Linked DNA regions of Anolis sagrei. The protein of the gene in region 1 interacts with the protein of each later gene in a biochemical or structural test. Links are inferred from orthologs where the notes say so. Each region holds a gene or a part of one and is shown in the gene's direction. Other genes may lie near its edges. The genes, in order: SNAP25 and CPLX1.

Region 1 (14,972 bases):
ACTGTTTTTTGCTGTTTTAATAAATGCTTTACTTATTGTTTTAATTGTTAATATATTGCTGTGCTATATGTAGTGGCATCGAATTACTGCCAAATGTAAGCTGTCTTGAGTCCCCCTTCAGGGGTTGAGAAGGAACGGGATAGAAATACCGGAAATAAATAAATAATAGGTTCATTTTCGAGACTCCAAATAAAAGCAAAATGATAAATCACCGGAGTGATGAAGAAAAACAGAAGGGAGTTTTATATTGATGAGGCAGCAGCACACTTTGACAGAGAAGGTTAAAACATTACCAAATTACAACTCCCATGATTTCATAGTATTGAGCCATAGCTGTTTAAGTGCTATCAAACTGCATTAATTCAACAGTGTAGATCATTGGTTCTCAACCTGGGGTCCCCAGATGTTTTTGGCCTTCAATTCTCAGAAATCCTAACAGCTGGTAAACTGGCTGGGATTTCTGGGAGTTGTAGGCCAAAATCATCTGGGGACCCTAGGTTGAAAACCACTGGTGTAGATCCACCCAAACAAGCCATCTCACCAGCATGTGAAAGAAGAGAAGGAAAGCAAAATACCCATGGACCCTTCTAAGAACCATAATTATTCATTTTTTAAATGAAATTCCTATACACATTTCAATGTGACTTTACCCTCAATCTCTTTAGATCTGATTATTTTATATAAAAAAGGAGGATAGAAGCAGAGTTTGGGAAATATACTTTTGTGAAAAACAAATCCCTGAATCCCCAGTCAACATGACCAGGGCCAACCAGGGCATTCTGGGGGTTCATCTCTTAGAAAGTAAAGTTACTCGGCCTGGCACTCTTAACCAATAAAAGTAGATATATGGGGCATAACTGGTGAGCAAACGCAGAGACAGGAATAATGCAAGTTCTTCCTATCAAATTATTAGCCTTTGTATACACAACAGAGCTAAGCTGTGTCTGTTCTTTTGAACTCATTCCCTGATTTGCTGCTACAAAAAGAAGTATTCAAATTTTGACTCGATCTTTTTTTCTTAGAATGCAGTTCTTTCAATGCACCATAGGGACCACCTTGGCTCTAATCCAGGCAGCTCCCTAAGCAATTGCTGAAGACCTGGATGTGTATAGGGAGATTTTTTTTTTTACTGTTTTCTTCTGCTTAGCAGCTCAAGCCTCCTCCTCTCATGCTTAAGTGCAAATGCAGATTCTGATTCAGAAGTAACTTGGTAGGAAAGATAGGGAAAATATAATATGCTGTGGAGGATATTTTTTTTAAAAAAAGTATTAGTCACACATTTCTTTGGGGTCATAACTGTTACATTCCTTCACAAAATAAAGCTGGCCAGTAATGTCCCAATTTCACAGAGTGAGAATAGAGGCCAGGAGGAACTCGCCAGGAATTTCCAGTAAGTCAAAGCTTTATTGAAATGCTTCAACACAAATGTCTCAGGCTGAAGGCCAATATCCCTCTATGAATAAAGAACTGGAAAGCTTGCGTCTCCACCCCCAGATGCTGCTACAGTTCCCATCATCCATCATCATTTGCCAAGCTGCAGGTAATTAGAATCAGTCACACCTAGAAGGAACATGCTCCCCAGCTACAACATTAGCAGGAAAATATTGGTTTGACCATTCCAAGGCTGTTTCTTCCATCAACATTCATTTTTGCACCAGTGTTACCCAGAGGTTTGTAACCCATGCCATCCATCTCTTGTGGAGACACATCTTTCCAAATGTAGTTTGGGCTATATTTATCTCTGGCTAGGTTCCAGTAGACTGGAGCCTTCTCCCAGGGCCATGTTTTGGAATATATCTAGACAATTTTAGTTGTTTCCAGGATCTTTGCTGTGCCATCATAGTTTCCTGTTTCAACAGTTTGCAGTGGTGCCCTGTAAATGTGAATAATCTCTCTTGTTCTGCTACCACCAGGCTCAGCAAAGATGGTAAGATTCATGGTCCAGAGTTTCCTCAATTCAGGGTTTTATCACACCAACCTGTTGTCTCACAGCAATAATAAAGCTGAAGCAAACAGGGACAATCACTTTCACACCACCTCTCCAGCAGCACTTTGGCACAGAGTAAAAGCATCACAGCTTCACCCTACTTTGGAGATGTGGATGAGGAGGAAAGCTATATCCACCTGTGCCACATGACTGTCAGTTATCAGGACAGCAGCAGAACAAGACAGTCACACCAGAATCTAAATTGAATAGTTGTGACATTGGACAAGGGTTTGCTTTCTTGGAGCTATAATATGGATTATGTGGGCAGGGTCGTGGGGGCCTCAGTAGCAGTCTCCATAACAATCAATCAAAACTTTATTTGTATCCTGTCCTCTCTCCCAGTGGGGACTCGGGGCAGCTAACAACACAAAATAAGAAACAAAGCAAATGGGCAATATAAACAATCAATCATAAATAATAGCAGTTGATGACTTTGATTCCACTGGGTTGTGAATTAAGTCTGGGTTTCTGCTTGAATTTTAAAGGAGCTAGCTAAGGTAATGAATATATAGGGTAATGTGCAGCGTATGAGCAAATCCTATAGTGTGGGTTAAAAGCTATCCCACTTACATGGAAGCCATCAGTTGTCATTGGGGATTTGGAAACAATGCTATTTGAGTGACATTTCTTTCTCTGCCAGTCCCATGTTTGCTCTCAGCCTTCTCATTTTACTGGGCAAGAGGAAGAATTCCTTCTGAGAGAGGCCCAAACCAACACCATCCATTTCAGTATGCAGCTTTTTTTTTTTTTTGGCATGGAGAAGAATAAAATTACCATTTAAAATTACAATTCTCAACTTTGTCTTTAGTATCCTTCCCTCCAGTGAGCAGTTGGGCTTTATTTCCTGGAGGATGGACTGGTTGGATCTTCTCGCAGTCCAAGGCACTCTCAGAACTTTACTCCAACACCACAGCTCAAAAACATCGATCTTCCTTCGCTCAGCCTTCCCTAAGGTCCAGCTCTCACATCCGTAGGTTACTACAGGGAATACCATGGCTTTGACTAGGCGGATCTTTGTTGCCAATGTGATGTCTCTACTCTTTACTATTTTATCGGGATTGGACATTGCTCTCCTCCCAAGAAGTAAGCGTCTTCTGATTTCCTGGCCACAGTCTGCATCTGCAGTAATCTTTGCACCTAGAAATACAAAGTCTATCACGGCCTCCACATTTTCTCCCTCTATTTTCCAGTTGTTAATCATTCTTGTTGCCATAATCTTGGTTTTTTTTATGTTTAGCTGCAGCCCAGCTTTTGTGCTTTCTTCTTTCACCTTGATTAGAAGGCTCCTCAACTCCATAGTTTTAAATAAGGAGAAGAAAAAAACATTACCACAATTATTTGTAATTACTCTGGACTTTACGGTATCTTGTTTTGTACTAAGTAGTCCAGACTTTGTGACACCACTATGTACAAGAGTGCACATTCCAGAATGTTCCCAGAAACTTTTCTTCATTCTTTCTTCCTACACTTGGCATAGTTGTGCTCTGAGGGAATCCCCCAAGATGGCTAGTTCTCAAATGCTGTCAACGCCCCCTTCCCACTACCTTCCCAGTCAAGGCCCACTTATTTTCCCTTCCCAGTTTGCTCATGATTGCAGTTTCCCAGGAGAGCCTTTGTTGCCTAGAAACAAGCCTGACATCCAAACCTCCCTCTCCCCTCCTCTCTGCCACCATCAGCCTTACTTCAGGGCCGCCCGCACACATCTGCTATACATCCTCAGTAATTTTGTGAAAGTACCAAAGTAACAAGGAGCCAGATGGAATGATACATCGAATAATATTTTCTTTCAAGACAACTGTGAACACGAAGGGATGGAGGGAAGGCCAGTACTTTGGGTGCTCATTTCTGTGGACCATCCTAGCCACACAATCCAAGCCACACAATCTTATTCATGAAGAGAGGAAGCATATGGTAGGCCCAGAAGGTTAGACAGAGATTGTTGCATTTCTGGGCTGATGGATCTGTGATGAACGGGCAGGCAGAAAGTGCCCAGAGTCCTAATATACCCATGATTTTGATTCTTGATACCTTGAGTCCCTTGAAAAGTAAAGAAAAGATAGTTTCTAGCCTTGGCTCCCCAGATGCTATCAGACCTCAACTCTCAAAACTCCCAGCCAACATGGCCAATGGCAAAGGATTCTGAGAGGTGTAGTCAAGACTGCAGATGAGTTCCATTTCAAAAATGAGAGGTTTGCTTTCAGTAGCAGGAGCCTTGCATCTCATCTCATTTCAAATACTTTTCTACAAGCTATAGCAGGCACATAACAGGCAGGCAGCCTGGAGTCTTTTCTCATTCTTCTGCCTTGCCTCTTACATTTCTAAAAGATCTTCTTTCTCCTCCTCCTCCTCTTCTTCTTCCAGTTTTAGAACATCTAAATTTAAATGAGGTTTCTGCAGGGGAACCAAGTGTCCTGGAATTTTAGCTCAAGATCGGGCACCACAGTTTTTCATGATCATGTCAAACTGAAAAAGGAAAAGCAGGAGAACTAAAGATTTCAGAAAATGGAAATCTCCATAACCTTTTGGAAAATGAATATTCATAACCATTTGGAAAAACCAGGAATCTTTTAGAAAGGCATGACCTTGTTAGAGATCATAACCTTTTTGTAAAGTATGATCTTCCTGAGAAGAGTTAAAAATGCACTTGAGTCAACCTTCCCCTTACTGGTAAATATCACTAGCATTCATGCAAAGCAATTAGGTTTCTCAGATGTTAGACTGATATATCTAGATATCTCTTTGAACTGTTAGGAACAAAGATATGCCAATGCATATATCAGAGTTTCAAAAGTATTATTTCAGCTGCCTAAACAAACATCAACTGTCTCTTAAAACATCCTGGTTTAAATCATGCTTCAAGATGCCAAAAATAAAGTAGTCTTTGTTAAAACAGCATAGTTGGTTTACTCACAAACTTCAAGTATTCAGCATATAAGTACATTGCTTATCAATCCAGTTACAGATAGGATTTGAAGTAATTTCTCTGTGCAGATAACACAGGGGATTGTTCTTGTAATCTTAACAGCTCATAGTCTAAAGCCGTGGTTCTCAATCTGTGGGTCCCCAGATGTTTTTGGCCTTCAACTTCCAGAAATCCTAACATCTGTAAACTGGCTGGGATTTCTGGGAGTTGAAGGCCAAAACATCTGGGGACTTACAGGTTGAGAACCATTGGAGCATCTCTCTAGTCTGAAAGTCTAATAGTGTGTATGCAGTCAGTTTCTACAGTCTTCCAAAAGCATATTGTTTCTACTGGCATCTGGAAATTATACAGTTAGTAAAATGGAGTTTCAGATGAACAGTCCCAGTTCTATGTTGCAGCCCTCCTACAACATAGAACTGAGGATAACTGCAAACCAATACACACATATACAATACGGTAAGCAATCTGAATTATATACTAAACAAATAACTGGTATAGGAGGCTTGTAGAAGGTTTCCCTTTCCAACAAAAGAGGAAGAGGGTCACTGTTATTTCTGCTTCCCTTCTTTATGGTCCACCTGAACTCAAGATTTACTGAGACACACATCCTGCTTCCCTGCTTTGTCAACATGGTTGTGCTATCTTTGATTTTCTTCAAGGGATTGGGCCACAGTGGTTCTTTGATGGGATATATTTCAGGATGGGGAGAGAGAAGGGAGATTCATCCTATATTGATTCCTTTACATAAAAACAAAAGTGTTTCAAGATGAAAAAATATAGTTTGTAGGAGTCATATGCATGTAGTTATTTTTCTATTAAATAGAAAAATAACTATATTTAACTTGTCCTCATGGACAACAAGTTAAACATGAGCCACCAATGTGATGCAGCAGCAAAAAAAGCCAATGGGATTTTGGCCTGCATCAATAGGAGTCTAGTGTCTAGATCCAGGTTTGAAGATGAGCAAAGTAAATAAGCTTGCCTATCTTCCAACGGACCTCATAACCTCCTAACCTCCGAGGATGCCGGTTATCAGGCCTGTAGCGGGTGTGTGTGTGTGTGTGTGTGTGTGTTAGGGGTTCAACCCCCCCCCCCCAAATTTTCAGGTTAAAAAAAACCTAGTTCACTCATGAATTTTAACTGGTTAACCAAATCCCCATGCTAAATCTATGAGATGCAAAAATTAAGAGTCCCTCCAGAACTGCAAGCACTTTCTCAAGCAAATATTGACAATTTGTTCACACTGTCATTACATGCAGCAATAGCCGATGCAGTGAAGCAACCAAGTTTGGGGGGGGGGGGGTTTGAATGCTTTCATTAAGGAGGCCAGACTTGGTGGAGGTGGTTTACAGGGGCGGAGCTGCAGGCTATTGAAGGCTGCTCTGCCCCCTGCTGTGCTCTTTGCTTAAGCGTGAGCTAGGAGGCAGGTTTCAACGCCCCCCCCCAGGCATTTAGCTGGGGGGGGGGCTTGAGGGGCTTCAGCCACCCCCCCCCCCGAAATTCTCATGGTGGTTCGCGAAAAGGCCTTACTGGTGCATTATTTAAACTGTTACGTTTATTCATATCACCATACTCAATATATCCCATATATCCAGAATCATAGAATCATAGAGTTGGATGAGGCCTCATAGAATCATAGAGTTGGATGAGGCCAAGCAGCAGGAGGAGAGAAACTGTAGGCAGGTAGGGTATTGGGGTAATGATACAAAAGGTTTGCTAGGGTAGACCCTCTTTCACTCAGACTCAGCCCCCCCCCCCGTAACCCCCCCTGAAAAAAACTCAGCCCCCCCCCCCCCCCGAATTGAAATCCTGGCTACAGGCCTGACCTCCCCTCGAAATTTTCACACACACACCCCCCCCCCCTCGAAATTTTCAACCCCTCCCTCGAAATTTTCAACCCTCCCCAAAAAACATTTCTGGCTACAGCCCTGCCTGTTATAGATGTGGGCAAAACGTCAGGAGAGGATGCTTCTGAAAGATGGCCATACATCCAGGAAAACTAACAGTAACGCAGTGATTCCAGCCATGAAAGCGTTCGACAACACAAAGTAAATAAGGCTGGTGGTTGTGGGCTGAATCTATGGCACCTCTGCATTTCTCTAAAGATATAATCAGCTCTTTGGCAACCCTGCATTATGTGCCAACGTAGATTACAAGGCAAAAAAGTAAAACCTCTCAACAACAACAAACAACCCCACATTTTAATTATTGGGGAGTCCTCATTGTCTTGTTTGACAAGCCCCCCGAGAAATGTGGCTTCTTCGGAGTAAGGAAAAGCATCCTTAAAAATAGAAAGAGCCACGTCAACAGGCCATATATGGAGTCTGCTGGAGTCTTCAGAGGAATACCCTTTTCGGACCACTGCTCTAGCGAAAACAAATCCCTACCGCAGTGCTGCTCCCGCCCCCAGCTGAAGGAAACCAAAACTTCTCATCATAACAAATACTTTTTCCCCCTTTCAAAACACCCTTCCAAACTCTGGCTTGCACGGAAGATCACACCCCCTTTCTTGGGTCCTTTAACTGCTTTTTTTTTTTACCGGATCCCTTCCTCTCTGTTTTCTTTTCTGTATAGGAGGGGGAGGGAAATGCCCGGGATTGCGGTATATTGTGCAGCAGCAGTAACAGCAGCAGCAGCATCAGCTTCTGATGAGTCAAGCTCCCCCAGACGCCTCCCTGGCGCTCCGGCTCTTCCCCCCTCCCTTCCCTTCTCCTCGTGCGCGCGCGCGCCCTCCTTTCCCTCCCCTCCTCCCCCTCCCATCCGCCCCTCAATAGATGTCTATTAAAAGCTGCTGACGTTGGGAGCGACGGCCATCTTTGATGAGGGCACAGCTCCCGTTTCATTGAAGAAGGAGACTCGGAGAGGTCAGGAGCGGCTCTTCTCCTTCTCCTTCCCCGGTTGCCAGCCAAGCCAGGCTTTGCGAGGAAGCAACGCTCCCGGAGGCCAGGTAAGGAGGGAAGGAAGCACTCCCTGGCGCCTGCCTTCTTTTCTTTCCATTGCTTTGCGGGGGAGAAAGGAGAGTATGAATCTCTTCAACCCTGATGTTTATTTCTGATTAGAGGGGGGGGGGGGGGGGGGGGGGGGGGAGGAGAAACCCTCATTAGGCCGAGAAGGGAAGGAGGAGCAGTACGAAGATGGAGAGAGAGAAAAACACTCATTTGTTTACTGTTTAGTCTGAGAAGGAGGAGCAGAAATATCTCCAATCATAATGAAAGAGAAGATGAAGGGGAGAGAAATATTAATGCCTGCCCTAGATGCAGGCAAAACGTCAGGAGAGAATGCTCCTGGAACATGACCATACAGTCCGGAAAACTCTGTGATCTGTGGTCATTCCACAGATATATAAACCCATTTTCCTACTTCCAACAGACCTCACTACCTCTGAGGATGCTTGCCATAGATGCAGGCGAAACGTCAGGAGAGAATGCTCCTGGAACATGACCATACAGTCCGGAAAACTCTGTGGTCTGTGGTCATTCCACAAATATATAAACCCATTTTCCTACTTCCAACAGCCCTCACTACCTCTGAGGATGCTTGCCATAGATGCAGGCGAAACGTCAGGAGAAAATGCCTCTAGAACATGGCCATATAGCCCGGAAAAACCTACAACAACCCAGTGATTCCGGCCATGAAAGCCTTCGACAATACATTGAACAACCTTATAATTCCGGATATGAAAGCCTTCGACAATATTCATGTATTCTTAACTTATTAATGCTCTTCTCCCAGCATTCCTGAACAGGGAAAGCAAAGGGTTTGTTTTTGTTTTGCTGGCCTCTCTCTCGCTTTCATTTCCTCTCTCGTTTTGGCGCATAGCTCTGTTTTGGCTGCCTCGTAATATGGTGGCAAAAGTTGGAAGGATGTGTGTGGGGGATATAATACCAGAGATATAGCGCGGATTTTGTTGCATAGAGCGGCCGAGGGTCTTCCGCCGCAGCTCCACTTTCAGGACCATGGACAGCAGCAGCCGCCTCCGTCGCAGGAATCCATCAGGGGCTGCGCGCGCAGCTCCCAGCTCTGATGCCGCAGCAGCAACAGCAACACAAGGGGGCTTGGGTCCAGCACCTCGGACAGCTCCCTGCCTGCATTAAGGATAAGGAGCTCAGAAGAAAACCCCGCAGACACTGCAGAGGGCTTTGGATTCAGCACCTCGGACAGCTCACCTGCCTGTATTAAGTATACAGCGTTTCCGGCTCAGAGGAAAACCCCGCACACAGTATAGAGCTTGGGTTCAGCACCTCGGACAGCTCCCCTGTCTGCATTCAGGAAGGAGCAAGGGTTTCTGGCTCTGAGACATTGTAGAGAAGGAAGGCCAATCTCTTGCCTCGATGCCTGGGGGCTACGCATAATAACAATTAATAATAATAATTAATAATGATATAAATAGTAACAACTAGTGAGAAACATCAAGCTAAATCTAAGGCTTAGCCTCCACCGCATAGACCTACTGGACCAAATCAAGCCCGCACAAGGACTGCAAAACGTTACTCATCCAATGAGTCTATTTATATTCCAGTCATTTATTACTCATTCAATGTGGCATTTAGTCAGTCATGGCTCCTTCCAAGAGGTCTGCTCTACTTGGGGAGGACAACAGTGGGATTTAGTCCCGTATTTCCAAATTCCGGGTGCGATCAAGACTGTTTACATGCCTCACATGCTTCACCCCCTTCCTTGGCCTCTTCAAAAATTCACCTCCGCATCCATCGCCATTTAGGGAAGCTGGAAAGCTCTCCCAACCGTGCCGTTGCAGTCCTGTCGCAAAACCTTCAGTTGTTGCTGAATATGAATATCTCTTTCCCTCAATCAATACTATGGACCCTTGTTTATCTAGGAAGAGATTCTTCCAATACGCAGAGGAATAACAAGCATCGTGGGGACTCTAAATAGAGAGCAGGCTGCAGGGTTCCTATTCCGCTTCCTAGTGGTTTTGAACCCTTTCTCCTCTTGCCACGGCCAGAGGGAGGGCGGCTTCATTCATGTTTCCTGCCTACTACGACATCATGTCGAGAGGCCATTCTGAAACTGGATTATGGGCAAGAGTCTTTGGGGAAGAGTAGGGAGGGGGGGGATGGAGAGAAGGAAGGAGAGGAGATGGGTGCTGGAGATGGGCTTCAAAACTCTCCCGCCCACCTCCCCAACCCACCTTTCTCTATCAGAGGGGAGGGAAGCCGAACGAGGAGGAGGAGGAAGAGGAGGACCCTGATGCTGCAGAGCTCCCTCAACCGGGTGCGTGCTATCTTATGTAACGGATTGGCAGCGGGGGGGCTCCGGCAGCATTCCTCTCTCATACACACAATCTTGCTTCAGAAAGGCAGGACATGTCTATTTTGTAAAAAATAAATAAATAGGGATAGGGAGATAAAGGTTTCCCCTTGACTGAAGGTATCTATCTATCTATCTATCTATCTATCTAAAAAGGTAAACCCCCCCTTGACTGAAGATATACTATATATCTATTTATTTATCTAGTATACCTTCAGCTCCAAGACGCACTTTCCCCCTATATCTCTAAAAATGGGGTGTATCTTGGGTATTTTTTGTGGGTGGTGCTGGTACTGAAATTGTAAGACGCCATCGATTGTAAAACGCACTCCAATTCATAAATACAGTACACACATATACATAAATATACATAGTTATACGGTATATATACTTATTATATATATACACACACAAATATGCTTATTTATATATTCATACGTACATACATATATATATATAGAGAGAGAGAGAGAGACTTATTTATATATGCATACTTATTTATATATACATATGTATACATACTTTATATATACATACATATAGAATCATAGAATCAAAGAGTTGGAAGAGACCTCATGGGCCATCCAGTCCAACCCCCTGCCAAGAAGCAATATATAATATACGTATATATACAAACTTGTACACACACATATAAACATATATATATACATACTTACTTATCTATACATATGTATACATACTTTATATATACATACATACATATATATGTATATATACAAACTTATACACACACACCTATATATATATATATACACATACATACTTATTTATCTATACATATATAGGTACATCCTTATTTATATATGCATATATACTTATATATACATATATAGATGCATCTGTATTTATATATTTACATATACACAGACATATACAGGCCCGTAGCCAGGATTTCGATTCGGGGAGGGGGGGGCTGAGTTTATTTCGCCCTCTGGGAATAGCTGCATCAAGCCCTTTCCCGACGGTTTAGATTCTGTTCTTGGATTGGTAGCATTTCTCTTTTCCAAAGTCATCTTTATTCTGAAGCAGCACCAAACGTCACCTCCAAGGCAGTCCCGTAGCCAGGATTTTGATTGGGGGGGGGGGGGGGGAGGGGGCTCAGTCTGAGTGAAAGAGGGTCTACCCTAGCAAACCTTTTGTATCGTTACCCCAATACCCCCATGCATATGGAATATATTGAATATAGTAATCAGATCATGATATGAATAAACATATCAGTTTAAATAATGCACCAGTAAGGTCTTTTTGTGAACCACCATGAGAATTTCGGGGGGGGGGGGGGGCTGAAGCCCCTCAAGCCCCCCCCCCCCCAACCTGGCTACATGCCCCTGGATATATATATATATACACATACATACATATACATATACACACATGCATGCATACATAGCTTTTTAAAAATATATTGTATCATATATAGAAACATACAATCTTCAAAATAAACAGTCAAAATACCAGTATTTTCCCCAATTCCACCACCACCAAATCCCCATCCCCCCAGGAACGTTAATTACTCTTGCTATACGTATTACATGCATACATAGCGTCATTATCTAATATCTATTTACATAATGACGCCAAGAATCAGGGCATCCATTAAAGCCCCATTTAGTTTGGTTGAGTCAAAAGGAAAGATGCCAGAGTATCGGGGATTTTAGCTCTTTCCATCTTTCTCTCTCTCTCTGCAAGAGGAAGTGGTGTTGGTGTTGGGGGGGGGGGGGGGGTATTTCCAAAACAAACATGCCATGGCGGCTCTCTGGGAACCAAGGCGCCAAGAGAGATGGATGTTTCCATCTAGCGCCTCCGCCTGTTCTGATTTTGGAAGGCTGATCGATTGGAGGGAGGGGGGGGGGGAGACTGAGAACCCCTCCCTGGAGGCGCCAGAGTCTCCCTAGATCTAGATGTACGTCAAACACGCCCCCTTGCGACCCGCCCCCCTTGATCAGCTTCTCTTCTCGGTCACGTTTCTCCAGCCGCTCTTGGCGTCCATCTGCGGCATTCAAGGCGGGGCGGGAGGAGGAAGAGGAAGCACGTTCTTCGGACGGAGGTCCTCCTCACTAACACCCTTCCCTCTCCCCAATTCTCAATGGCGCACCTTTGGGCGCTGTAGAAGGAATGGTAGCAATGCTAGGGAATCTTCAAAGAGTTGTGGTTTTACAAGATCACCCCAGATTCCATAGCACGGAGCCATCTTTCTTTCCTCCGCACGGTTTGGCTCCTCTGCGCTCGAGCCGGGCTTGTGATTCAAACCTGCGACAGCGGCCCGGCCCCACGTGACCAGCGCAGCACGCGCCTTCGAAGAAGAAGCAGCCCAACATAGCCTCTCGCTCTCTTTTCTCGCTCTCCCCCCTCCGCTTTGGAATGGTTTGGCCCGCCCCCAGGCAAAGCGGGGAGGGAGAGGCCACGCGGGAGAGGCGCGCGGGGGAGGAGGACGCCCCTCCAAGCTTCATTCCTGGCGTTCTTGGGGTGCCTCGTGACTCCAAAAGAAATTAGGGGGGGGGGAGGAAAATTGAAACATAGTGGGTTTGGGAAATGTATGGCAACTCAATGAGAATCTCTCTGCGGGGCCAAAGCGGGATTCCACAAGGGCTCCTCCGCCTGCCAGAAAATGCAGCAATTGGATTAAGCCAAGGGTCGGTTGCGTGAGCAGCCGGGAACCTGTTCCAAGAAGGCAATAATGACTCAGATGGCGCGTGGCACCAAGGAGGGAGGAGGAGGAGGAAGAGGAGGAGGAGACGCCAGCCTTCGTCTCCCAAGAATCAGAGAATCTTCAGAGTTGGAAGAAAGTGACCCCAAAAGCCATCCAGCCCAACCCCTTCTTGCCATGTAGGAAAAGCACCCCTGCCAGGCTTTGAAGCTGCAAGGCTATTCAATGCTGATCAAGGTAGCCAATTGCAACACTCACACTCGCCTCAAACAGACAAAAGTTCTTTCTCCCACCCTGGACACTCCACAGATATATAAACTCCACTTGCCCAGTTTCCAACTGACCTAACAACCTTTGAGACAGGCATATAGCTCAAGCGCCCCCCCCCCCCCCGGGAAATTCTCATGGTGGTCTGCGAAAAGACCTTACTGGTACATTATTTAAACTGTTATGTTCATTCATATCATGATCTGATCACCATGCTCAATATATCCCATATGCATGGAGGAAAGTTCTGAGAGTGCCTTGGACTGCGAGAAGATCCAACCAGTCCATCCTCCAGGAAATAAAGCCTGACTGCTCACTGGAGGGAAGGATACTAGAGACAAAGTTGAAGTACTTTGGCCACATCATGAGGAGACAGCAAAGCCTAGAGAAGACAATGATGCTGGCGAAAGTGGAAGGTAAAAGGAAGAGGGGCTGACCAAGGGCAAGATGGATGGATGGCATCCTTGAAGTGACTGGACTGACCTTGAAGGAGCTGGGGGTGGTGATGGCCGACAAGGAGCTCTGGCGTGGGCTGGTCCATGAGGTCACAAAGAGTCTGAGACGACTGAACGAATGAACAACAACAACAATGGGGGTATTGGGGTAACGATACAAAAGGTTTGCTAGGGTAGACCCTCTTTCACTCAGATTCACCCCCCCCCCCCCGCCCCGAATCAAACTCAGCCCTCAAAATCCTGGCTATGGGCCTACTTTGAGATGTGGGTGAAATGCTTCTGGAACATTGGCCAAAAAACTCACAGCAACTCATCCAGCCTCTGCTTGAAAACCTCCAGAGAAGGAGGCTCAACCAAGTCAACATGACCTACAGTGTGGAATACCTCGTTCTTAATGAGACGTGCTGTGTTGTCACAGGATGGCTATGCCCCACACCACTGGAGAAATTATACTGTTTAGCTGGTATTGCACCACCTGACATCCAGCGGGAAGTAGCAGCCAATAGGCATGGTTAGGTTCGGTGGGAATCTTCATAATTTGGAATGAATTCGGAAATATTTGCTTTTTGAAGAGATTTTGAAGTTTTTAAGGAAACCAGAAGTCCCTTTGCCCTTCTGAAGCTTTTCCCACCATTTCTGTTAGGAAGCAGTAAATGAGTCAGAAATGGTTCAGTTTCCCCCCGCTTCTGGTCTCAAGCATGGGAAGCATTTTAAAACAAACTGGATGAATTTCCTGCCTTTTCTCTCCCCTCGTTTCTGGATTGGAGCCTGGGAAGCATTTTAATCCAGACTTTATGAATTTCCTCCCTTTGCTTCGTGCCTCCCCCCTTCCGCTTCTGGAGTAAAACAACTACTTTCAAAGTAAAGACCACCCAATGAAACAGGAAATAGCACTTTCAAACCATTAAGGAAAGATTCGGAAGTCTCAGAAGTTTGGAAAAGTTTTGAACATTTTTTTCTGTGAAAATTGGAATTGACTTCCAAATCGAACCACCAGCGCCCCCTACATCTGAAACAAGTTTTGAACCATTTTTTTTAATCAAACAAGCCTAGCAGCCAATAATGAAAGGACTAAGGCAGTGACATCTCCGGCCCATCCCCTGTTCAGATATCAGCCAACATACCAATGCCTTAAATCAAGAAACAGCTTCCCAAGATCGACAGAGATACTCACTGGAACACCTCAGCAAGTGGGAGTCCAAAAGTGGCAGGTTAAAACTCAGCATGTTAATTAGTGGCAGAGACCGGATGAGAAACTCCCCCCTGGGCACACAGAAGATTGGGCAACCTTGAAGGTGCTGTACAGCCTGCACTCTGGCACCACGAGATCTTAAGAAACAGCTACAAAGTGGAGTCTACGACATGCAAGTATGAAGAAAAGCAAATTACAGACCACCTACTACA
Region 2 (15,482 bases), on another chromosome or scaffold:
CGAATTTGTGCCTTTGTTTGTAAGCCGCCCTGAGTCCCCCCTCGGGGGTGAGAAGGGCGGGGTATAAGTAACTGCAATAAAATAAATAAATAAATAAATAAATTCTGCTTTAGATCATATTTCCTTGGGCATAATCACTTGGGGTTGTATCCCAGGGCTTGGAGGTGATGAAGAAAGTGATAGGCACTACAAAGCTGGCAGAGTGACATCTCCAGCTGTATCCACACTATAGAATTATATAGCATGTTAACTGGCATTGTTCAATGTGATAGAACTCTAGGATTGTAATTTTCTGGAATATTATTTACCCTTCTCTATCAGAGAGCTTTGGTCCCAAAACAATCTTCAAATCCCAGGATTCCATAGAATGGAGCCATGACAATTAGTGGTGGCCAAGTGCTATAATTCTGTAGTGTGGGTTGTCTACCCTATCTCTTTGTTTCACACTTTCTGCCATTACTTTTCCTGTCTCCCATTCCTGCATTATTTCCTTAAGGTCTAAATCTATTGATAGTAGAGGGCTTCCAAAATTGACTGGAAGCCAGATGAAAATAGGATGTGGAGCATAAGCAGCTCTATGTGGCAGTCATGATGATCACGATGGTTTTATTAATTGGTATCCTACTTTTTCCCAATAATGGGACTTGAGATAGCTTACATATTACATGTACCATGTTTTTAATAGGATACTCTAATGTTCATGTTTTATTGATTTTGTTATGTTTTTATCATCCAATAGTTTTTATTGTATTGAAATGGTATTTTATGGTATTGGCAATGGTATTTTATGTGAACTGCCCCGAGTTGCCTGTGGGCTGAGAGGGACGGTATATAAATATAGTAAATAAATAAATAAATAAATAAATAAATACAATTTGAAACCATACAAAGTATGTGAGTGTCTGTACACACAGAGAGACACACATACATACACAGACACAATTAACATATAGTTGAAACCATTTAAAAGTCATGAAAAGACAATACAGTTAGCCTTCCATATCCACTAGTTCTGCATCCATAGATTCAACCCATCATGGTTTGAACAGATTCAGGAATCATGGAATTGCAAAATATCTGTCCCCTTCCAGTAACTCTAACTCAAGGTTGGGAATTATGATCAAATTACATCTTCACTAAAGTCACCTCACTGATTTCTAATTAGTTTCCAAGCAAAGTACAAAGTATTGGCATTTCTCTTAAAAGACCTACATAGTTTGAATCCAGGTTACCTTTGGGATCTTCTCCTCCCACATAATCCCTTCCATATACTTTTTCCAGTCAGTCATGACTAGTCTGTCTGATGATGATCACCCACAGGACTTTTTCTCCAGTTACCCCTAGATTGTGGAATGACCTGCCAGAAGAACTTTGACCATTAAACAAGCTGAGTGAATTTAAAACATCAATAAAGACCAGTCTCTTCTGGCAGGCCTATTTAGCTGATTTTTTAAAATATGATTTTTAAACTATGAATTTTGAATTATGTACTGGCTGTTTTACTATGTGTTGAGTTTTGTGTTACTTTACATTGTTGTTTCAACTTGGTTGTGTTTTTTTTAACTTATATACAATATGTTGCATGGGAAGAGACAGATAGAAATCATTGTTGTCCTCCTCCTCCTCCTCCTCATCTCTCAATACTCAGTACCCAAGGAGATGCTGCATCCAGCTCTTCCTCTCTCCTCCTAAGAATTTGAAAAGAGGGAGAATAAATTAATTCTGTTATCTCCATTTTCCTCACGTATTTTTAATATCTTGTGAACCTATGACATGGCTTAGCTAAACCAAAGGCCACATTTTTGACTCTGCTAATTAGTTCCATGTCTGATTTTTCTTGCTTTGCAGCAAGCAACGCTAAGCTAATTAGAAACACACAAGGACAGAGCAATCCTGTCAGGGAAGTAGCTGAGGGCCTGCTTTTCCCATGCTTTTTTAGTTTGTGCCAACAGATTGGAAGCTTCATGGTTATAAAAGTGTCTCCCCCTTTTATTTATAAGGCCATGCCCAGCCATTTTCTTCCTTTATGAACACTTTCCTCACATTGATTCCAGGGCAGGTATATGTTTTCCTTTGAGTCCTATGAATCTATTTCAATTTCCAGAATATTTACAGAGTGCCTTCTTTTGAGAGGTTCTCTGATATCAAATTTCTAATGGGAGTAGAGCATTGACTGCCAAGTATTTCATAGCCTCCCGAAAGAGTCTAGCTCCTCCCTGCCAGACACTTTACTTCTCTTGAGTCTGCATTTTACTCTTGAGTCTCTCTGTGCTTGAATCTGTCTAAAGCAGTGGTTCCCAACTCATGGTCTGTGGACCACCAGTTTCCCCCAAGAACGAAAATATGGTCCATGGTCTCACCGCTACTACACTGTTGCAAAGAGAACGACTGATCTTGTGAACCCATCTTATAGTGCCGAGGCAACAGGGATGGGAGAGGCTGACTACCCATGAAAGGCATAATAACAAGCCTCCTGACTGCTTCTCCTCCTCCTCCCTCACCCTGAGTGGAACCATTCCATGTGGCACTTGAAGGCAGAGGAGACTTGGTGTCTTCGTTTTTAAGCCTGTTCCTGGGATTATTTGGGGAGCTTATTCAGAAAATTTCATTGGATAGATCACATCATCTCTGGATTATTAAATATGGAGTGAGAAGATGGCGACTGCTTGATGGCATATATTTTGTATCAGAAACTAGAGCTGACGTGGTCTATTCAATGCCATTTTCTGAATCACCACCCTAAATAACCAAACTGAATCTAAAGTTGACCAAAAACTGATTTGTAACCCTTTTGTAATAATTTTGGAGAATAGTCCCTGGCCAAGTGGTCGCTGGCCAAAAAAAACGTTGGGAACCACTGGTCTAAAGAGATCTGCTGGATCCACTTCTCAGGTATAGGGCCATTGGATGAGATGGGAGTTGTCCTGTTGCTGAACTCTACTCTCCAAAAAGATTCAGAACCTGAAGAGCTACCTGTAAGCTGGGGCATATGTGTTAAGAAAAGGCATGGTACAACTTACCAGGCAAGGGACATTGTGGCGCGGGGCATCCTCCACCGCCATTTTTGCCTGAGGGGACTTCTTCCTCCCAGAAGCCACCTCGTATGGCCGGGTGGCCAATTGGCCAGCTGGTCATGCCTCACTGTGGGAAAGGCTGGAGCTGGCCTCTCCCTCCTATGGGGCAGCCTATTTAAGGCTGCCCCAAGCTCCCCAGCAGGCACTGTACCTGCATCAGCTGATCCACCCCACCCACCCTGCATGCTGTTTGCATTTTTTGTCTACAGTTAGCTTGCTTTGTTAGCTTATTTATTTATTTTATTTATTTATTTGCTATATTTATATACCGCCGTTTCTCAGCCTAGCCGGCGACTCAACGCGGTTTACAACATAATATAACAATCAACAGTATACAGTTAAAAGCATAAAAAACATAAAAAACATAAAAACACAATTCATACATCAATACCAATCCAGTTCGACTCTTAACTAAAAACGTGATCCAGTTCGTCATCCATGTTGCCAGTCCTTTAGTCAGTTACCATTTGTTGCATTGGGTTAACCAAATGCCTGCTTAAACATCCAGGTCTTCAATCTTCTTCGGAATATCATCAATGAAGGGGCTGATCTTACCTCCAAGGGCAGGGTGTTCCATAGCCGCGGGGCCACCACAGAAAAGGCCCTGTCTCTCGTACCCGCCAGCCGCACCTGTGAAGCAGGCGGGATAGAGAGCAGGGCCTCCCCAGAAGATCTTAGGGTCCTGGCGGGCTGATAGGCCGAGATACGTTCGGATAGGTAAGTTGGGCCAGAACCGTTTAGGGCTTTAAAGGCCAACGCCAGCACTTTGAATTGAGCCCGGTAGCAGATCGGCAGCCAGTGGAGCTGGTACAGCAGAGGAGTTGTATGCTCCCTGCGCTCTGCTCCCGTTAGTATCATGGCTGCCGAACGTTGGACTAGTTGGAGCTTCCGGGCCGTCTTCAAAGGCAACCCCACGTAGAGAGCGTTGCAGTAGTCCAAACGGGATGTAACCAGAGCGTGGACTACCGTGGCCAGAGCTTGTCATGGTTACCTGTTCACAGTTGCTTGTTTAGGTGCTACCCATCACAACTCCTGTTTGCATGGGCCCAGGATCTGGCTTGGTATCCCCCTCTAGCGGAAGGGGGGAACGCCTGGTAGTCTCAGGGGTGTCGAGTTTACATTGGCCCAGTATTGTGCTGGTGGCACCCTGGTGGTATCGGACAGCAGTGGGCTGCCCAATCCTGATCCAGGGCCCATGCATGGCTGCCAACCTTTGTTCCTGTTATCAATAAATGAGTTGTGGCCATTGTTAATCCCAACAACCTTGTGTTAGTGGTTTTTCTTGGGTCAGCTGTGGGAGGTGTATCGCCCATGCACACACAATGGTTGTAAAATCTGAGGTCCTTTCACATTGCAGAGTTATAGCACTATGGTTTCACTTTAACTTTCAGGGCTGACCCCCATGGACTCTTGAAATATGTAGTTTAGTTAGAAGTACAAGGGGAGTCTGAAAATTCTACATTTCTTTCTCTCTGAACTGCTAATGTCCAGGTTTCTGTAGGACCTGATGAAATATATCAACACACAATATATCCAAGGGCATTGTGCAAGGAATGTATACATCTCACATAGCATATATTTACTGATTCTCATTTTGTACTATCCATGGTGCACTTCTCAAGGGCACAAGGTTGTGCTGTACCATTGTGTTGGTTGGTTTGTTTATTGCCGATTTTACTGGTAGCCACTTATCTGGCAAGAGGTCAGTTCACATGAGCCTCTTAACAATGGGAGACTGGGCTCACTGGAATTTGCAGATCTCCTTTGGCACACAGAAAAACTTGTACTTTCTTTCTGTTTGTATGAGAGAAAGAGCAACCTTGCATGACTTGGCAGTTCTGAGGTTAGACTGCTCACAGGCATAGTTCTGCTCCATGAGCTGGTTATTTGCAACAGTTAGCAGGCAGTGCTAATGTCTGCCTTGGCTCTAAGCCACTGTATTAGTTTATTCCAGCTGGCTGAAATCCAGTACAGAGTTCAATGTGTGGTTTAAGCCCACTGAAAATCAACTGTGGTCACTCTGAGAGGCATTTTTAGTCTAGGCTGGGGTACAAAGGAGACTGAAAAACAGAAGCTGCACTTCAGTAACATCTGAGCCCATGCCTCTTTTGGATTAGGAAGTAATTACTGGCAACGCAGGTCCATTGTCATCTTTAAAAATATATACCTTCAGTAAATGAATGGACGGATCCCATCTATTGCAAATCTATATAAATAAAAATGTCATGTTTGTTTGTGGGATTAACATAACTCAAAAACCACTGGACAAATTGACACCAAATTTGGACACAAGACACCTCTCTGGCCAGCAAGTGACCATCACTCATAAAAACACTGGAAAACACAGCAGAAGAGACTTTAAAAGCCAGAAAAACAAAAAAATACATTACAACACATGCTCAAAACCACATATGTATGCAAACACACATATTTACACATATACACAAATATATACAGAAATACATACACACATATATGCACACACAAAACAAATACACAGAAAGGGGGAAGGGAGGAAGGAAGGAAGGAAGGAAGGAAGGAAGGAGAAAAAGAGGGAGAGAAAGAGGGAAAGAAGGAAAGAAAGAAAGGTAGAGAAGGAAGGTGAGACGGAAATAAAAAAGTGAAAGAGGGAAGGAAGGAGAGAAGGAATGATAGAGAGAAAGAGGGAGGGAAGGAAGGAAGGAAGGAAGGAAAGAGACAAGGAAGGATGGAACCAAAGAGCAAAGGAAGTTAGAAAAGAAACAGGTAGAGAAGGAAGAAAGAAAAAGGGAAAGAAAAAGAGGGAAGAAAGGAAAGAGGGAGGGAGGGAATGAAGGAGAGAAAGAGTGAGGGAAGGTTGGCCACAGCAACGCATGGGGGGTACAGCTAGTATTTAATATAATTCAAAATAGGTAACAGCTTCCCAGTGGTTTCCTTTATAGAACAATCTGCTGCAGGCAGGAATAGAAAACATGCATAATCATATACAGAAAATGTGGAAACATGAAACTCAAGGCCCCTTTTGGAAATGGTAAAGGTAAAAGTCAAGGTTTTCCTCTGTCATTAAGTCCAGTCGTGACTGATTCTGGGGGTTGGTGCTCATCTCCATTTCTAAACCAAAGAGCCAGCATTGTCTGTAGACACCTCCAAGATCATGTGGCCAGCTTGACTGCATGGAGCGCCGTTACCTTCCCACCGGAGCAGTACCTATTGATCTACTCACATTTGCACCTTTTCAAACTGCATAAACTGCATATTCCAGTTCAAAGCAGATTGAACCAAACTTGGCACACAGGTTGGCATAAACTGGGGCTAACAGCGGGAACCCACACTGATCCCCGAATTCAAACCTGCGACCTTTGGATCAACACATTTAGCACCTTGGTATTTTAACCCACTGCACCACTGGACAGGGCTTATTTCTTCTCAATATTCTGGCCTTACCTCTCCTGTGCCTGGGCACCCTCAAAAATGTACACTTGAAGGGAAGGGAAGATTGTGAAATCTCTTATCCTCTGAATCTTGCCTTCATTCTCAGCCCATCATTGTACTATATCCTCTTGTAAGACTCAAAAACCTAAATCTAATTATTTCACACAGCCCAACAAAAAAAATTCTTGGTCTCTTGGTTTTTAGTCCGGTTCCTGGAGTTATTAGGGGCACTGATTCAGAAAATTGCATTGAATAGACTGCATCAGCTCTAGTTTCGTAGATACAGTTATAATGGTTTTCTATGGGTGAGCAGATGGCAACTGATAGATGCCAAATGTCTTGTATCTCAAAACCTAAGACTGATAAGGAAAACTGGTGCCATTCTTGGAATCAGCAGGTCATATATACCTTGAAACAGATTTAATATTTGAGGCATCAAAATGTGTGTCGGTCAGTGATTTCTAACTAGACTAGATCCAGTGAATCAACCAGAACTTGGAAAGTCAGTATTTACATATGTTCCTTTGATCCAATAGGTCTAGTCTAAATAAGAGCAACTGTTGAATGGAGACCTTTGCTCCCTGTTCTTTCCAAGGAATGTGTGTTTCTTTTCCAGTATTTTTTGTTTACATTTTTTGTCTGCAAATTTCACAATCATTGGGTTGCTGTGAAATTTCTGGGCTGTATGGCCATGTTCCAGAAGCATTCTCTCCTGACGTTTCACCCACGTCTGTTGGAAACTAAGCAAGTGGGGTTTATATATCTATGGAATGTACAAGGAGGAAGAAAGAACTCTTGTCTGTTTGAAGCAGGTGTAAATGTTGCAGTTGACTACCTTGATTAGCATTGAATAGCCTTGCAGCTTCAAAGCCTGGCTGCTTTCTGCCTGGGGGAATCTTTTTTGGGAGGTGTTAGCTGGCCCTGATTGTCATAATCATCATTTCTCTTGAAGTGATGCATTTTATCCAGTTGCATTTTTGATAGACAACCTGAATAATAATAATAATAATAATAATAATAATAATAATAATAAATATCACTCAGTTATGGTTGTGGCCCACCTGAGCATCAAATGCATAATCTAGGTTGGATTACTGCAATGCACTCTACGTAGGGTTTCCCTTGAAGACGGCCCGGAAACTACAGTTGGTCCAGAGATCTGTAACCAGACTACTCACAAGAGCTGGTTACAGAGAGCGGTCAACCCTCCTGTTTGAACAGCTCCAATGGCTTATGATAAGTTTCCAGTCCCAATTCAAGGTGCAGGTCATCACCTATAAAACCCTAAATGGTTCGGGACCTGCTTATCTTCGTGACCGCATCTTCCCCTATAAACAAGTGCGTACCTTGAGATTTTCTGGGAGGGCACTGCTCTCTCCCCTCCTGCTGTCACATGCACGGTTGATGGGGACGAGGGAGAGAACCTTCTTGGTGGTGGCCCCCGGCTCTGGAACTCTGTCCCTAGGGAGATCAGACAGGCTCCCACCTTGTCCTCCTTTCATAGTCAACTGAAAACCTGGATATTCCAGTGCGCTTTTGACTAAGCAGCTCACCAGTAACTTTCTTGTCCCTACTTGAAGTTCCGCACTTTACACCAGCCCGCATTTTACACTGGCATACATCCTACCTCTACATGTGTTATGACAGTATTTCCTGCCCATTTTACTGTATTGTTGCACTTTCCTGCAGTCCTGTAAAAATGTATTGCACTCATTGAATCTGTACCTCAGCTATGTTTCTTTCAGCCGTATTGTTTTTATATTGATTTTAATTGTGTTGTTATTTGTTTTATCTGATGTTTTAATTGGTCCAAGTGTTTTACATGTGTGCTTTAATTGTAATCTTGGGCGTGTCCCTTGTAAGCCGCCCCGAGTCCCCTATGGGAGATGGATGGTGGGAGTATAAAAACAAAGTTATTATTATACAAGTGTCAGCACTGAATCTAGGAGGACCCCCAAGCTGTGGACCTGTGTCTTCAGAGGGAGTCCGACCCCGTCCGGGAGCTGCTGAGCTTGTTGACCGAAAGGTCGCAGGTTCGATTCCGGGGAGCGACGTGAGCTTCCGCTGTCAGCCCTAGCTTCTGCCAACCTAGCAGTTCGAAAACATGCAAATGTGAATAGATCAGTAGGTACTGCTCTGCTGGGAAGGCAACGGTGCTCCATGCAGTCATGCTGGCCACATGACCTTGGAGGTGTCTATGGAGAACGCCGGCTCTTCGGCGTAGAAATGGAGATGAGCACCACTGCCCAGAGTCAGACATGACTGGGCTTAATGTCAGGCGACAACATTTACCTTTACCTTTACAGACCCCGTCAAGCACAGGTTGCCACCCAATACCCCGGTCGGACCCACTGCGCCACCAGGGTGCCCAAGCTAGTATACAAATAAATTATAATTGACCCTTTACATCCAGGGATTCTCTGTCCATGGGTTCAACGGCCCTTTGAGAGATTTATTTATTTATCGTGTCATCAGCAACCATACCATTGTGTTACAATTCTAACAGAACAAAACAAATACACAGATTAAAAGGAAAAAGGAAAAAAAACACACAGATTTTGCAAACTTGGTAGTTGGTTAAATGTCCTTTGACCAGTATCTGGCCACTTGGAGTGCCTCTGGTGTTGCCGCAAGAAGGTCCTCCATTGTGCATGTGGCTGGGCTCAGGTTGCATTACAGCAGGTGGTCTGTGGTTTGCTCTTCTCCGCACTCGCATGTCGAGGATTCCACTTTGTGGCCCCATTTCTCAAGGTTGGCTCTGCATCTCGTGGTGCCAGAGCACAGTCTGTTCAGCGCCTTCCAAGTCGCCCAGTCTTCTGTGTGCCCAGGGGGGAGTCTCTCATCTGGTATCACCCATGGATTGAAGTGCTGGGTTTGGGCCTGCCACTTTTGGACTCTCGCTTGCTGGGGTGTTCCAGCGAGTGTCTCTGTAGATCTAAGAAAACTATGTCTTGATTTAAGTCGTTGACGTGCTGGCTGATACCCAAACGGGATGAGCTGGAGATGTCTCTGCCTTGGTCCTTTGAGAGATGATGTGGCCCCCCATGAAAATGAATTTGACAGTCCTGTAGAATTTGATTCCACTTTAACTGGGCCATATAGCCCGAAAATCCCTCTTTGAAGGTGAGAGGGTCGGTATATAGAACCTCGAAATAAATAAATAAATAAATAACTACCATGGCTCTGGCATCACGGGAGTTGTAGTTTGACAAAGGTCTTGAGCCTGCTCTGCCAAAGAGGCCAGGTGGAGGGGTGTCAATCGGTTTCAATTCTGCAGTGTAGATGCACAAGAGCTCCAGCTTTCCTGAGCGAAGCCAGCGCCGGGAGCAGCCAGCGGGCCTGACGACTGAGTAAGCGCGCCTGAGAGCGGGTAGTCTTCTCCCCCTTCCCTCCCTCCCTCCCTCCCCAGGGTGGGTTTTGGGGCGTCCTCCCTCCTCTTCCTTCCCCCCTTTGACCTTGGTTGTAACGTGTTCCCGGGGAGCCGCGTCCTCACGTGACCTCCGCCTCCTGCAACCCCCCCCCCTCTTCCTCCTTCCTTCTTCCCGTTCGGATTTAACCGGGGAGCTCCGGACTGCACCCCCACCCCTTCCCCCCTTCCTTCCCTCCTTCCTTCCTTCCCCTTTTCTTGCAGCCCGTCACGCAAGGACTGAGCGCTTTGGGGCCTCTTTGGGGAGGCGGTATCAGCTGACTGGGTCTCTGCAGTGGAGGAGGAGGGTGAAGGAGAAGAAGGAGGAGGGATGGAGAGAGAGCCCTATTGCAGCATGTTAAAAAAATGAGGAGAAGGGAGGGATGTGAAGGACGAAAGGTGTCTCCCTCCCCTCCCCGCGTCACCCCTCCCTTTCTCTTCTAGACCCCTTCCCCCCTCTTTCTCGCCTGCCTCTTGGAGGCTCGGCATCCCCATTCAGCCATACTGTTGGGTTCACCTTCAGACGCCCCTCGGAGAGAAAGGAGGGGAGAGCCGGCAGAGTTGTGTGGTTGGAGAGGAGCGAAAATCCCTCCATTGTGGATGCCAAAGGAGAGTGCCTCCCTCCTCCCTGCCCCCTAAACTGGCCCCTAAAAGCCTTACATTTCCGGAAATGGGTCTGCGGCGCCTCGAGAAGACAGGAGAAACTGCTGACTTGGCTCCCTCCCCAAGTCACACCGTTCTAGGTGTTGTCGAAATGTGTTGTCATGTCCGGAATCACTGGGTTGCGGTGTGTTTTCCGGGCTGCCTTGCCATGTTCCAGAAGCATTCTCTCCTGACGTTTCGCCCACGTCTATGGCAGGCATCCTCAGAGGTTGTGAGGTCTGTTGGAAACTAGGCAAGTGGGGTTTATATTTCTGTGGTGGGAGAAAGAACTCTTGTCTGCTTGAGGCAAGTGTGAATGTTGCAACTGGCCACCTTGATTAGCATTGAATGGCTTTTTTTTTGTCATGCCAGGAGTGACTTGAGAAACTGCAAGTCACTTCTGGTGTGAGAGAATTGGCCGTCTGCAAGGATGTTGCCCAGGGGATGCCCAGATAATTTGATGTTTTTATCATCCTTGTGGGAGGCTTCTCTCATGTCCCCGCATGAGGAGCTGGAGCTGATAGAGGGAGCTCATCCGCCTCTCCCCAGATTCGAACCTTCGACCTGTCGGTCTTCAGACCTGCAAGCACAGAGGTTTAACCCACTATGCTATTAGCATTGCATGGCCTTGCAGTTTAAAAGCCTGGCTGCTTCCTGCCTGGGGGAATCCTTCTGCAAGACTAAGACCAAGCTATGAGAGTAAAGATCCACCCAGAGGAAAAATGTTCTTACCCAACATTCTGCCTTGGTTAGACCACACCTGGAATATTGTGTCCAATTCTGGGCATCACAATTGAAGAGAGATATTGACAAGCTGGAATGTGTCCAGAGGAGGGCGACTAAAATGATCAAGGGTCTGGAGAACAAGCCCTATGAGAAGCGGCTCAAAGAGCTGGGCATGTTTAGCCTGAAGAAGAGAAGGCTGAGAGAAGACATTATAACCATGTATAAGTATGTGAGAGGAAGTCATAGGGAGGAGGGAGCGAACTTGTTTTCTGGTGCCCTGGAGACTAGAACGTGGAACAATGGCTTCAAACTACAAGAAAGGAGATTCCCTCTGAACCTTAGGAAGAACTTCCTGACTGTGAGAGTTGTTCAGCAGTGGAACTCTCTGCCCTGGAGTGTGGTAGAGGCTTCTTCTTTGGAAGCTTTTAAACAGAGGCTGGATGGCCATCTGTCGGGGGTGCTTTGAATGCAATTTTGCTGCTTCTTGGCAGGGGGTTGGACTGGATGGCCCATGAGGTCTCTTCCAACTCTATGATTCTATGACATCAAGAGAACCACAGGGAAGCTGATGAAGAAATAGAACCTACAAACAATCTACAGATCAATTAAGAAAATCCAACAAATGCTACATTCAAGGAAGGACAAGAGGGATCCTTTCACCTCTGCAGGAGTCTGCAGCTGTGGACAAGTCTACATAGGGACCACCAAACACAGCATTGCCCAAACACGAACCCAGGAACATGAAAGGCACTGCAGACTACTTCAACCAGAGAAGTCAGCCATAGCAGAGCACCTGATGAACCAGCCTGGACACAGCATATTATCTGAGGACACAGAAATGCTGAACCACTCAAACAAACACCATGTCAGACTACATAGAGAAGCCATTGAAATCCACAAGCATGTGGACCATTTCAACAGAAAGGAGAAAACCAAGAAAATGAACAAAATCTGGCTACCAGTATATAAAAAAAAGTCTAAAATCAGGACAGTAAATAAAGGACAACATTCAGAAAATAGGGGAATTCCAGACAGGAAACAATCAGGGCCAGCTAGGCCCATAGACAGGATTTCGATTGGGGGTGGTGGTGAGTTTTTTCCGGGGGGGGGGGGGTTCGGGGGGCCCTGAGTTTCGGGGGGGGGGGGCTGAGTGAGTGAAAGAGGGTCTACTCTAGCAAACCTTTTGTATCATTACCCCAATACCCCCATGCATATGGGATATATTGAATATGGTGATCAGATCATGATATGAATAAACATAACAGTCTAAATAATGCACCAGTAAGGCCTTTTCGCGAGAATTTCATGAGAATTTCATGAGAATTTCGGGGGGGGGGGGGCTGAAGCCCCTCAAGCCCCTCCTTGGCTACATGCCTGGGGCCAGCTAATGCCTCCCAACAAAGCAGGAGGCAGCCAGGTTTTGAAGCTGCAAGGCCGTTCAATGCTAATCAAGGTGGCCAATTGTAACATTCACACTTGCCTCAAACATACAAGAGTTCTTTCCCCCACCCTGGATATTCCACAGATACACAAGCCTCACTTGCCTAGTTTCCAACAGATCCCTCACCATCTGAGGATGCCTGCCAGAGATGTGGACGAAACGTCAGGCAGGAGGGAATGCTTCTGGAATATGGAATACAGTCCGGAAAACTCACAGCAACTCATATAACGTTCTTTTCCCCCACCGGAAAGGCTCCACGAGTGTTGTTGTTGTTGTGGGGCGCCTCCCAGCTGTTTCCAAGGGATGGAGTCCCTCTCGCGGGGTTTCCCGGGGCTGAGAGTGTGTGACTGGCTCAAGGTCACTCAGAGGGTTTCCCTTGCCCTAGTGGGGACTCGAACCGGTGTCTCTAGAGCGGGAGCCCAACCCTCCAGTAACAGCAAAACATAGAGATACATCTCTCTTACCGCATTTTTCAACCTGTTCCAACTGCTTAGGGGCAGGTCAGTGTTTTTGTTAAGGCGCCCAGACGTCTGTGTGTTGGGGATCCCATTGCGTTAGAGCCCTCCCCCCTTTGGGGATCCCTCAATCCGCCCCACAATTGCAGGTGTGCGCCCAATAACTTCCTGCGGCAGAAGTCGCGGTTAAGGGAGGGGAAGAAGAGGAAGAGGAGGAGGAAGAAGAAAGAGCAGGGCGAGAAATGCCGACCCAGCAGCACCGCTAGGAGGAGGAGGAAGAGAAGGAGGAGGAAGGCGCCCGCGTCGCGTGTAAGGCGGGAAGCGTGTCAGTGGGATGGTCCCGGAAATCCCGTGATAAAAAGAGGGAGCCGTGAAAGTCAAGGCGCTGCCGCCGCGCGTCCTTGCTTCCTCCCTCGCTTTGCTGCCTCATCCTGGTCCTGTCCGGAAAAGAAAGGGAAGAGAGAACTTCTTCCTGGCCCTGCCCGGAAAGCCCACGCCTTGTCACGCATGGACCCGGCCGATCGCGGGAGAAAGAGGACCCACTAAAGGAAGAAACGCGGAGAGAGAGAGAGATCCAAGGCGCCCAACGAGGTATCACTCTCGGTCTTTGCCGCCTATTCTTATTGCTGGGCTGGGAGCTCTCCAACGTGCTGAAAGCTCCCGCATTCGCTTGGCTCAGGGAAGTGTCCTTGGTGCTGAACGCTCCCATTGCTCCCCGCTGAGAGCAAAGCAGGAGGAGGTTGTGAGTGCGGGTAGTAGCCTAAAGGAAGGGGGAAACGACCCAACGGCACAGCACCCCCCTCCTACCCCATACGCTCTCTGAGTTTGGATGTATGGGTCAAGCACCCAATGTCCCCTCCCAAAAGCTGGAAGGATTGGCAGGAAACAGAGACTGCAAAAGCTTTGGGGTACCTCCCTGCAATGGTGCAAAATCCAACGCCTGGGGAAGCCCCCTCTCTCTCCCCCTCCTTATTGGATCCTCATTGGCATTTGAACCATGTCTCCGGCTCTTTTTGGTGCAGGCGACGATGCATCAACTTGTCACAGGAGTGCGAGAGCTCTGTTTCTTTCAAGGACAGAAGTTTGGAAAGGGAGAAAGGGCCAATCGATGCAGCATTGTAGCATATCCTCTCTAGATTTCATTTTTTCTTTTCTCTATCTAACTTAATGAATGCTCCCCCTCTCCTTGTGGGGTTAGTAAAGCAAAGCTTAGGAACCCCCTATGGCTCAGTGGATTAAATCACTAAACTGCTAAGCTTGTTGACCAAAAGGTCACAGGTTTGAATTCGGGGAGCAGTGTGAGCTTCTGCTGTTACCCCAGCTTCTGCCAACCTAGCAGTTCAAAAATGTGAGTAGATCAATAGGTACCACTCCGGTGGGTCATGCTGGCCACATGTCCCTGGCGGTGTCTACAGACAACACTGGCTTAGAAATGGAGATGACAAACAATGTGAAAATTGCTTCTTGTACTGTATCTTAAAAGAGAAGACCTGGGGGAATGGGCCATTTTTGAGGTGAAGAATCAGGACTTAAAAGCCAAGTGTCACATATGTAACACTTCCCCAGAGTTGGACATGACTGGACTTAATGTCGGGGAAAAACCTTTATCTTTACCTTTACCTTTACCTTTATCTAAAAACTCAAAATTTTATTTTGTTGGCTCTGCCGAGTCATGAAAACTGCCTGTTCTTGCTTGGCGGCAGCACAACCAAACTGTAATCGCTTGTATTCACTTCTGGAGTTCCAGTCCTGTCCAAAAAATGCATCAGAAATGCTGAGTAATATGTACAATGTTGCATGTTTGTGTAGAGGAAGTGGACAGGTTTTGCTGTCCAGTTAACCACCTTGGGGTTGTTGCGCTAACTTAAAAATCTGTGCCGCAGTTTCCTCCCGTCTCAGTAGTGAGAATCATAGTGCCTCATTGCTCAAGTAAAGTTCCCAGTGACTTTTAGCAGAATTGATCTCAGCTTCTTCTCCCCAAAAGGAAGAATATATTTGTCTAGCATTAGGATTTTTTCCCCAGTATGTGATATTGATGTAACTCCACTAGCCAATTTGCATTAAATCTCTCCCTCCCTGCCTCCCTCCTTGCCCTCCCCGCTCTCTGTCATAATGTGGTGTTTGATATTTAACTCAATTTGACTGGAGTGGCTCTCCTGGTCAATGATGCAGACATGAGGTTGTCCATTAAGAGTGTCTGGCAGAGAAGGCTGCTGCTGAGTTTTCAAGAAGCACAAGGGCTTCAACCTTCAAATGCCCCCCAAGAGCTGCTTCTGCTCTTATTAGCTAGAGCTCCCCATCCCACACACACATTTCTTTTCGAAAGG

Evidence for each region.
Region 2: the proteins of SNAP25 (region 1) and CPLX1 are reported together in a solved structure, tested with the Homo sapiens proteins (2 studies listed by BioGRID, with this or other methods). The link is inferred for Anolis sagrei from reciprocal best matches to the Homo sapiens genes SNAP25 and CPLX1.

What each region holds. Positions count from the first base shown.
Region 1 is NC_090021.1:145,055,793-145,070,764, reverse strand, and holds the start of SNAP25 (synaptosomal-associated protein 25), read left to right. Parts: upstream 1-7,703; 5' UTR 7,704-7,857; intron 7,858-14,972.
Region 2 is NC_090022.1:154,134,723-154,150,204, forward strand, and holds the start of CPLX1 (complexin-1), read left to right. Parts: upstream 1-9,737; 5' UTR 9,738-9,835; intron 9,836-13,164; exon of another isoform or gene 13,165-13,295; intron 13,296-13,514; exon of another isoform or gene 13,515-13,746; intron 13,747-15,482. UniProt on the Homo sapiens protein: Positively regulates a late step in exocytosis of various cytoplasmic vesicles, such as synaptic vesicles and other secretory vesicles.